2 linked regions of the Macaca fascicularis genome follow. The protein of the gene in region 1 interacts with the protein of each later gene in a pairwise test. Links are inferred from orthologs where the notes say so. Each region holds a gene or a part of one and is shown on either strand. Other genes may lie near its edges.

Region 1 (3,645 bases):
CACTGCACTCCAGCCTGGGCGATGGAGCAAGACTCCATATAAAAAAGAAAAAAAAGAGAATACTTTTTTAACAAATGATGGTGGAAAAATCGGATGTCCATATTCAAAAAGTGAACTTTCACACAGATCTCACATCTTACACAAAAAGTGACTCAAAGTGGATTATAGAACTAAATATAAAATGCAAACGGATAAAACTCTTAGAGGAAAACGGGAGAAATTTGCATGGCTTTGAGTTTGTTGATGAATTTTTAGATACTATAAAAAACACAACCCATAAAAAATTGATAAATTGGACTTTATTAAAATTGTTTTTTCCATCTGTGAAATTAACTCTTGAGGGAATGAAGAGACAAGCTTCAGCCTTGGAGTATATATTTGCACATCACGTATCTGATAAAGGACTTGCACCCAAATACACAAAGAACTCTTACAATTCAACAAATAAACACAAATAACCAAGTTCATAAGTAAGCAAAAGAATACCTTATAAAACATGTTCAAGAACCTGTGAACAGTGCACAGCGAGTCCTTGTTTTAGACTCTTTTCTTCATTGTATTATTCAGTATTTACACAGTTTGAAATATGAGTGTCTAGGAGCTGTCTTTTCTCACAAAAAAGAGGGAAGTGATCTAAAATCACGAAACTGAAGCCCGAGAGTAAGATTACACATTTTGCACACATGCATATCACTATTTTTCATTCTAAAATGAGTGTTTTTCTAGATCAGAGAAATTTTATTTAATTCCATTTTGTAGGACTCTATAGCAGAGCCTCTTCGATATGAACCTGTTTAATTTGTATAATGTCGATAATTATTTTCCATTCACAATAACAACAACAAAGACTTTTTATACTATATAGTCTTCAGCAACAAACTGCAGTCACTTGTCTCTAGCTCCAAGGTCTGTGAAGTAGAGTTTATCGGGCCATCTAGTGGCCACTACATCAAACAACAGCTTTTTGTATTTACTACTGTGAACAACTTTTACAGGCTTCACTACATTGATACTAAGTCTACAAAAGCTAAAACTAGGCCTCCCTGCAGACTGTCTATAACTGTCCTGAACATAACAGAATTCATGACCCATATGTTTTGTTAACGTAACCATTGTACTGTATCTTTGTGGTTCTGCGCGTTACACGGGGGCCCGGTGGAGCTGTGGCGTCTTAGCAGAGGGCATTAGCTGCGGAATTTTGCCCGCACACCCTGACTCAAACGACGGATGAATAAAATGTACATTTCCATACAGATATTTTGTTTTGCCAGTCCAGCTGAGTGTCCAACTGCCTGCACACCAAGAGAGGTTTGTCACTGCTGCTGGTCCGGAGCAGCTTGCACTTCAGGCATTTATTTAGTATACAATTAACAACAGAAGCTTTGAGTAAACACACTGGAGGATAATTAACATGGTTAAGAGAGTAGTTTTACGAGCTTAGGTACCATGGTTTAAAGTAAATACCATTAGGGGGCAATTTCTCTGGTTGACCTCCCCCCCATTCCCCCCACCCCCACCCCGCCAGGTACCCCGACCCCCCACGCTCCCCCCACCCCCCCCCCCGACAGAGGGCCATTTGGCTTAAAGATTAGTTAATGGAGGTACCGTAAACACACTTAACTGGGGAATCCCCTATTGTTCCTAGTATTTACCCTGTGACTTAATGCTCTAAAGTAAGAACCGGCTGCCTTTAGCCTGTTCAATTGCGACAAGTTATGTAATCTTTTGGCCTTTCAAAAGGTTTGTGATTATTTCCTATAACTTTTCCTAATATTCCCCTTTAATATTTTTGCCATCATCTTAAGTGAATCACAACATATCTTAATATAATTATTACATGAATGTATAGTCCGTATTATTTTTAGACCTGATTAATTGAATGTTTCAGTGGGATGTATCAATTTTTCCTCTTTCCATTATAATAATCTTGTTTAAGTCACTAACATGTCTTGCCTGGAAGATTATTATCTCCTAACTGGTCCCTTGTCATCCTCTCCGTATCCTTAAAATTCTTTCTCCAAAGAGTAACTCAATTAATCTTTTAAAAAAACATGTGTATCATAGTAAGATCATGGATTTTCTCTACTTAAAATGTTCCAATGAGGTTCCATCACAATTTTAATGAAATGTGAACTCTTCTTCACTGTCTATACAGTCCTATGGGATCTGGTCTCCACATTCCTCTTATAAACTTCATTTCCTACCACTCTCCCCTCCATTCACTAGAAACCAGGTATATTATTTTTTTGTCATTGTTGTGTGTTTGTTTCTTAAACACATTCTCCCAGACTTTGGGCTTTGGGTACGTTGTTTGTCTAACTGGAATAATTGGTTCCCACATACTCCCACATGAGTTGCTTCTTCTCTAAAACCATGGGTGGTTGCAGATCAAATACCATGCCCTCAAAAATGTATTCCTTCTTAGTTATTCAGAAATTAAACACCAGCTGCAATCAAAGAAACTCCCGAATCTCAGTGGCTTAGTTATACATTAATTAACCATGTACACTTCAGTATGGATAATGGGGAGTGAAGACTGAGAAGTTCTGTTCCATGAGCTATTCAAGGACTCACTTGGGCACCAATCCTTTTACGACTTGGCTGTCCTCCTGGTTCTCAGAATCCATGCCGTTCACCTGTCAGAGAAAGTAAAAGAGGGTGGAGGATTATGTCAGAGATTTTTATAAACTGTATTTGGGAGTGGAGTACTTTATTTCTACCTATATTAGCTGGAATTCAGTCGCGTGACCACAACTAACTGCAGCTATGGATGGTAAATGTAGGGCAGCTGTGTGCCCAAGGGAAAACAGGGTTTGATGCAATCACAGCATTTCCCTCTGCCACGTTAGCCCTTGTGTTTATCAAATATCCACTTTACCCTTCCTTTTAAATGTTGAACACACTCTCCCTAGAGGAGACAATCCAAAATTCACCTATGTATTGAATCCAGCTCAAAGTTCAGGATTTCAGAATTACACTCGGTCTTCTCCACCAAGTCCTGCTGTGGTTTGTCGAGGTCAGGGACCCAGGAACTAAAAAGATAAATTATGTTTCAAACAGCCAATAGGGGGGAGGCGAGAAATAACCATAGTGAAAATTCTCATTTGGAAAGGAAAAGGAGGCACTTTACCGTTATGGACTCATAGGAATTATGGAATCTTGCTGGTACTTGGTGATGTGTCTGTGAAGCAAGTGGGAATTAGTATTCCAGGGGAGCAAATATATGGCACAGAATTGTAGTTGCTACCTTTTCAGGTGAGATGGGATAGAAATGGAGTCCCTGAAATAAGAAGTATGTTTCTGTACATTTCAATGCTGAACCAAGAAAGGACACATGGCTTGATGATACATTGAAATATTTATCTGGGTTTTTCACATTTTTCCTCTCCCTCTCTCCCATGTGTACTCTGAGGATCAGCACACTTGTAGACAGGAGTCACCTACTTTGAAGGAGCAACCAGAACTCTGACTCCAAAGAGTAAAACTTGGTATCTGAAAAGACAATGAAAAGAAATATTCGGTTTCACACTTACAGAGTTAGTTTTAAAATGGCCCTAAGAGGTGAAGAGAACATGCTGATGGAAGAAAGAAAGGAATGGATAAAATTTGATCTTGAGACATGAGGATAAAGCTGAGGTTGATGAT
Region 2 (4,433 bases), on another chromosome or scaffold:
ACTGATATGCTCACCTCTACCAAGTTGATCTTCTAGGTTTGCACTTGAGGTTGCAAAATGGGGACAAAGGATTTTGCAGTGGGGACGGAATGAGAGAGATAACACATGCAAGGTCTTGGGGAAGGACCTGGCACGCAGGATTAGAAAGGTGAGTGGGAGGCAGATCCATAGCCAAGCCCACTTCCTATCCTAGACCGCCCTCTGCCCAGGCCTGAGTACACCATCATGACTTCTTAGCTCAGCCCAGAGACTGAAGAAACTTAGTGTCACAGAGCAAGTCAGGGACAGGGCAGTGGTCTCATGATTTATAAACATGCATATATATATATATATATATATATATATATACACACACACATACATACATACACACACACACACATATATATATGTAATTTTATTTTTTAGACAGAGTTTTCCTGTTGTCACCCAGGCTGGAGTGCACCGGGATCACCGCAACCTCCACCTCCCAGGTTTAAGTGATTCTCCTGCCTCAGCCTCCCAAGTAGCTGGGATTATAGGCTCGTGCCACCACATCCGGCTAATTTTTGTATTTTTTAGTAAAGATGAGGTTTCACCACGTTGGCCAGGCTGGTCTGAAACTCCTGACCTCAAGTGATCCACCCGCCTTGGCCTCCCAAAGTGCTGAGATTACAGGCGTGAGCCACCGCACCTGGCCTTAATTTTTAAATTTTTAAAATAGATGATACATGCACACAACTCAAAATTCAAAAACGGTAAAGATAGTGAAGTTTAAAAAAAAAAAACAACAACAACCTCCTCCCACCCTGTCCCCATTTCTCCTCCCTGCAGGCACCATCGTGACCAGACAGTTGCTTATCCTTCCTGAGAGACTTTAGGCAGATGCAGGCAAGTATGAATATATATTCTGTCTCCATTGTTACACATATGGCGTCATGATGCTATGTGTACCATTTTCATCTTGTTCTTTTTGCTCAATAGTATGTTTTGTTCTTGGTGCCACATCAGTACATAAAGAGCATGTCCTTTTTCCCAGCTGCACAGTAGAATTTCCCATCATCCCCTACTGGTGGCCACTTAGAGTGTGTCTCATTTCTGCCTACAAACCACACTGCAGCATCACTGCATCTACATCATTTTGCTTAGAAGTGGGACAGCTGAGTCTGGGGGATGTATTTGTAATCCACAACCAAGTCTGCTTCCTATCCTAGACCGCCCTCTGCCCAGGCCTGAGTGCACCATCATGACTTCTTAGCTCAGCCCAGAGACTGAAGAAACTTACTCAATGTCACAGAGCAAGTCAGGGACAGGGCAGTGGTTTCACGATTTATAAATATGCATATATATATACACACACACACATACACACACACATATATATAGAGAGAGAGAGAGAGAATGAGATGGGAGGACTGTGCTTCATGAAGGCTGTGTGAGTTAACCTCCTGCCTGCAGAACATACAAATGGTCCATGAACATTAGTTTCAGTTATCTTGATTACTGAGGTTCAGGGCATCCCTAAATTTTGCACTGGTGGTGAGGACCTCAATTGCCTCAGCCCCTGCCTTGCATCACAGTGGGAGAAGGTGATAAATTTGCTAATAAGTAAAATATATAGGACATAAGGTGGAGTAAATGCTACTGAGAAAAACAAAACATGCAAGAACAAGAGCAAGGCTTATGAAGTCAATAATATTTGTTGAAAGAATAAAGGAAAGGCTTGTTTTCTGAGTGTTCGGAGATCCTGTCCCCAAAGCCAGGGGGAGGCTCCAGAGGAGAGGAGATATGTAACTCCCTTATGAAGAGATTCAAGACTCTCAAAATGCATGACTCTGGGTGTCAAGGATTCTAAGATTGAAGCCAGAGGGACCAGGAGCTAATAACCACTGCATTGTCTGACTGGGACTTCGACAAGAGGCTTAACTTCTTAGAACCTCAGTTTCCCCACCTACAAAAGGAGACTGACAATAGCAACCTAGGGGGCAAGGGGTGTCCCCAGGAGACAGAGCAGGATCTGGCCTAGATCAGATGCTCCTCCTGAGGGAATCCCGGCCCCACCCCCAATTCCAAAGTCTCTGGTGACTAGTGGCTTTGGTTCAGGGACTGGCTTTATTCCCTTCCCCAGACCGGGGAAGATTCCCAAGAGGCCAGCAGCGACTCTGGGGGCTGGAGAATCTGCTGCCCCTATATCCAGCCCAGAAATGTCAGTGCCATCCGATGGCTAAAGAGTGGTCCTCTGAGAGGGGGAGCTCTGGAGTTCAGAGCCCAGTAGGCAGAAGGGCGCCAAATGAGCCGAGTCCAACCCCGGACTGCGGAGAAGAAAGACGCCCAAAAGGGGTATCCCGAGGACAGTGTGGGGCGCAGGGATAGGTGATCCAGCCAGGGGTCCATAGGCCGTGTCCCTGCCGATAAAATGCTGGGAAAATGACTACTAGTTGCCCGTCTGTACCTCTCAAGGCAAGTCTAGATACGACTAGACTAGGGGCTGCGAGGTAGGGCGGAAAGCCTTGAACTGGATTCTCTGCCAGAGCTCGCCGAGCCAGGACACTTGCCTCTCTGAACCTCAGAGTCCTCATCTGTGAAATGACACGCAGGTACGACGCGGGGAGAAAGCAGACAGCAGGCGCTCGGGGAACAGAGTCCCCCAGACCCCGGGTCGCACCCGGAACCACCCGCGCCCTCACCTGGAGCTCGTCCTAGGCGTGTCCCGGCTCCTTCCGCGCAGTCTTCGGAGAGGCTGACAGCTCGGACCCGGGCTGGTAGTGACCGCTCCCAACGGCGCCCAGGAGGCCCCAGCCCCGCGTGGGCACCTTTGGGGTCCCCTTCGGAACTGCCCTCCGCAGTCGAGCTGAGCGGGTGGCCCTGACTGTCGAAGGCCCCCACCGCAGGGAAAGTCCCTCGAGCGCCGAGAAAGGGGAAGTGAGCACCCCGCCCCCCTTCACTCCAGAATGGTTCGACCCGGACTTCCTGATTGGTTCCTCGCTTCCGTTCGAACGGCGCGCCGCCGGGGTTGCCAGGCGACCGCTTAGCTTCTGCAGCCTGAAGGAGCGGCGCGGCTCAGCAGCTCCGCCCCCACCTCCCAACCGGCCCCACCTTCTTCCTGCCGCCGCTTCAGACCCGGCGCCTGGTTCTTTCCCTTCCTCCTCCCTCCGGCTTGCAGCTGGGACTTCCTCTAGGGCACCAGCTGGAAGAGCTCCAGTTAGAGGACCCTGGTTGATTCCTAGTCCTGACTTTGACGCTAACTCCCTATGTGACCCCGCACAGCCCCTTCCTTTCTCTGTTCTCCTAACTGCATGATGATGAGTGAGTTAATTTTAAAATGTGCACACCCAGCAGTCCTGAAATTTACAAAGGAAATGACCAAAGATATGAGCAAAGATTAATATTGCTCAGCCTTATTCATCATGACAAAATAATGGAAACAACTTAAATGCCTCTTGAAAGGGGTTGGTTATATAATTCCATCCTGTGGAAGAGCTAACTAACTTAATTGAGCGTTTTACATGCCAGGTAGCTTTACAGAACAACTCTTGTCAAGGCTTATGACATAACCCTCTAAAAGTACTTTTAATTATTAACACTTTCTTTTTTTCTTTCCTTTTTTTTTTTTTTTGAGATGGAGTCACCCTGGCTGGAGTGCAGTGGTGGGATCTCAGCTTACAGCAGCCTCAGTCTCCTGGGGTCAAGCAATCTTCCCACCTCAGCCTCCCGAGTAGCTGGGACTACAGGTGTGCACTACCACACCCGGTATTTTCTGTATTTTTTGTAGAGACAGGGTTTTGCCATGTTGCCCAGACTGGTCTTAAACTCCTGGACTCAAGTAATCCTACCAACTCAGCCTTCCAAAGTTCTAGAATTACAGGCATGAGCCACGCCGACTAGCCTAATTATTCCCACTTTCTGATGAGGAATATTATGCAGCCATTAAAAATGAAGCAGCCACCAGGAGCAGTGGCTCACGCCTGTAATCCCAGCACTTTGGGAGGCTGAGGCGATCAAATCACCTGAAGTCAGGAGTTGAAGACCAGCCTGGCCAACATAGTGAAACCTTGTCTCTACTAAAAATACAAAAATTACCCAGGCGTGGTGCTACAAGCCTGTAATCCCAGCTACTCGGGAGGATGAGGCAGGAGAATAGATTGAACCTGGGATGTGGGGGATGCAGTGAGCTGAGATCATGCCACTGCACCCCAACCTGGGCAACAGATCATCTCAAAAAAATAAAAATAAAAGTGAAGTAGCTAAAAGAGATTTAAAGATAGGGGGAAATGCTAAGTATTAAATATTGATTTATTTATGTTTTTTAGAGACAGGGTCTAGATCTGTTGCCCAAGGTGGAGTGCAGTGGTGCAACCACAGCTCACTGTATCCTAGGTTGAAGCAATCCTCCCACCTCAGCCTCCAGAGTAACTAGGACTACAGGCGCGCATCACCATGTCAAGCTACGGGTG

Evidence for each region.
Region 2: the proteins of MKRN3 (region 1) and FAM110A interact in binary tests that used the Homo sapiens proteins (3 or more experiments, as listed by UniProt). The two-hybrid records come from large-scale screens. The link is inferred for Macaca fascicularis from reciprocal best matches to the Homo sapiens genes MKRN3 and FAM110A.

The regions. Positions count from the first base shown.
Region 1 is NC_088381.1:5,355,174-5,358,818, forward strand, and holds the end of MKRN3 (E3 ubiquitin-protein ligase makorin-3), read right to left. Parts: intron 3,033-3,645; coding exon 2,934-3,032; intron 2,637-2,933; coding exon 2,633-2,636; coding exon of another isoform or gene 2,575-2,632; 3' UTR 1,293-2,574; coding exon of another isoform or gene 1,217-1,292; 3' UTR 280-1,216; downstream 1-279. UniProt on the Homo sapiens protein: E3 ubiquitin ligase catalyzing the covalent attachment of ubiquitin moieties onto substrate proteins.
Region 2 is NC_088384.1:86,552,272-86,556,704, forward strand, and holds the start of FAM110A (protein FAM110A), read right to left. Parts: upstream 2,904-4,433; 5' UTR 2,667-2,903; intron 1-2,666.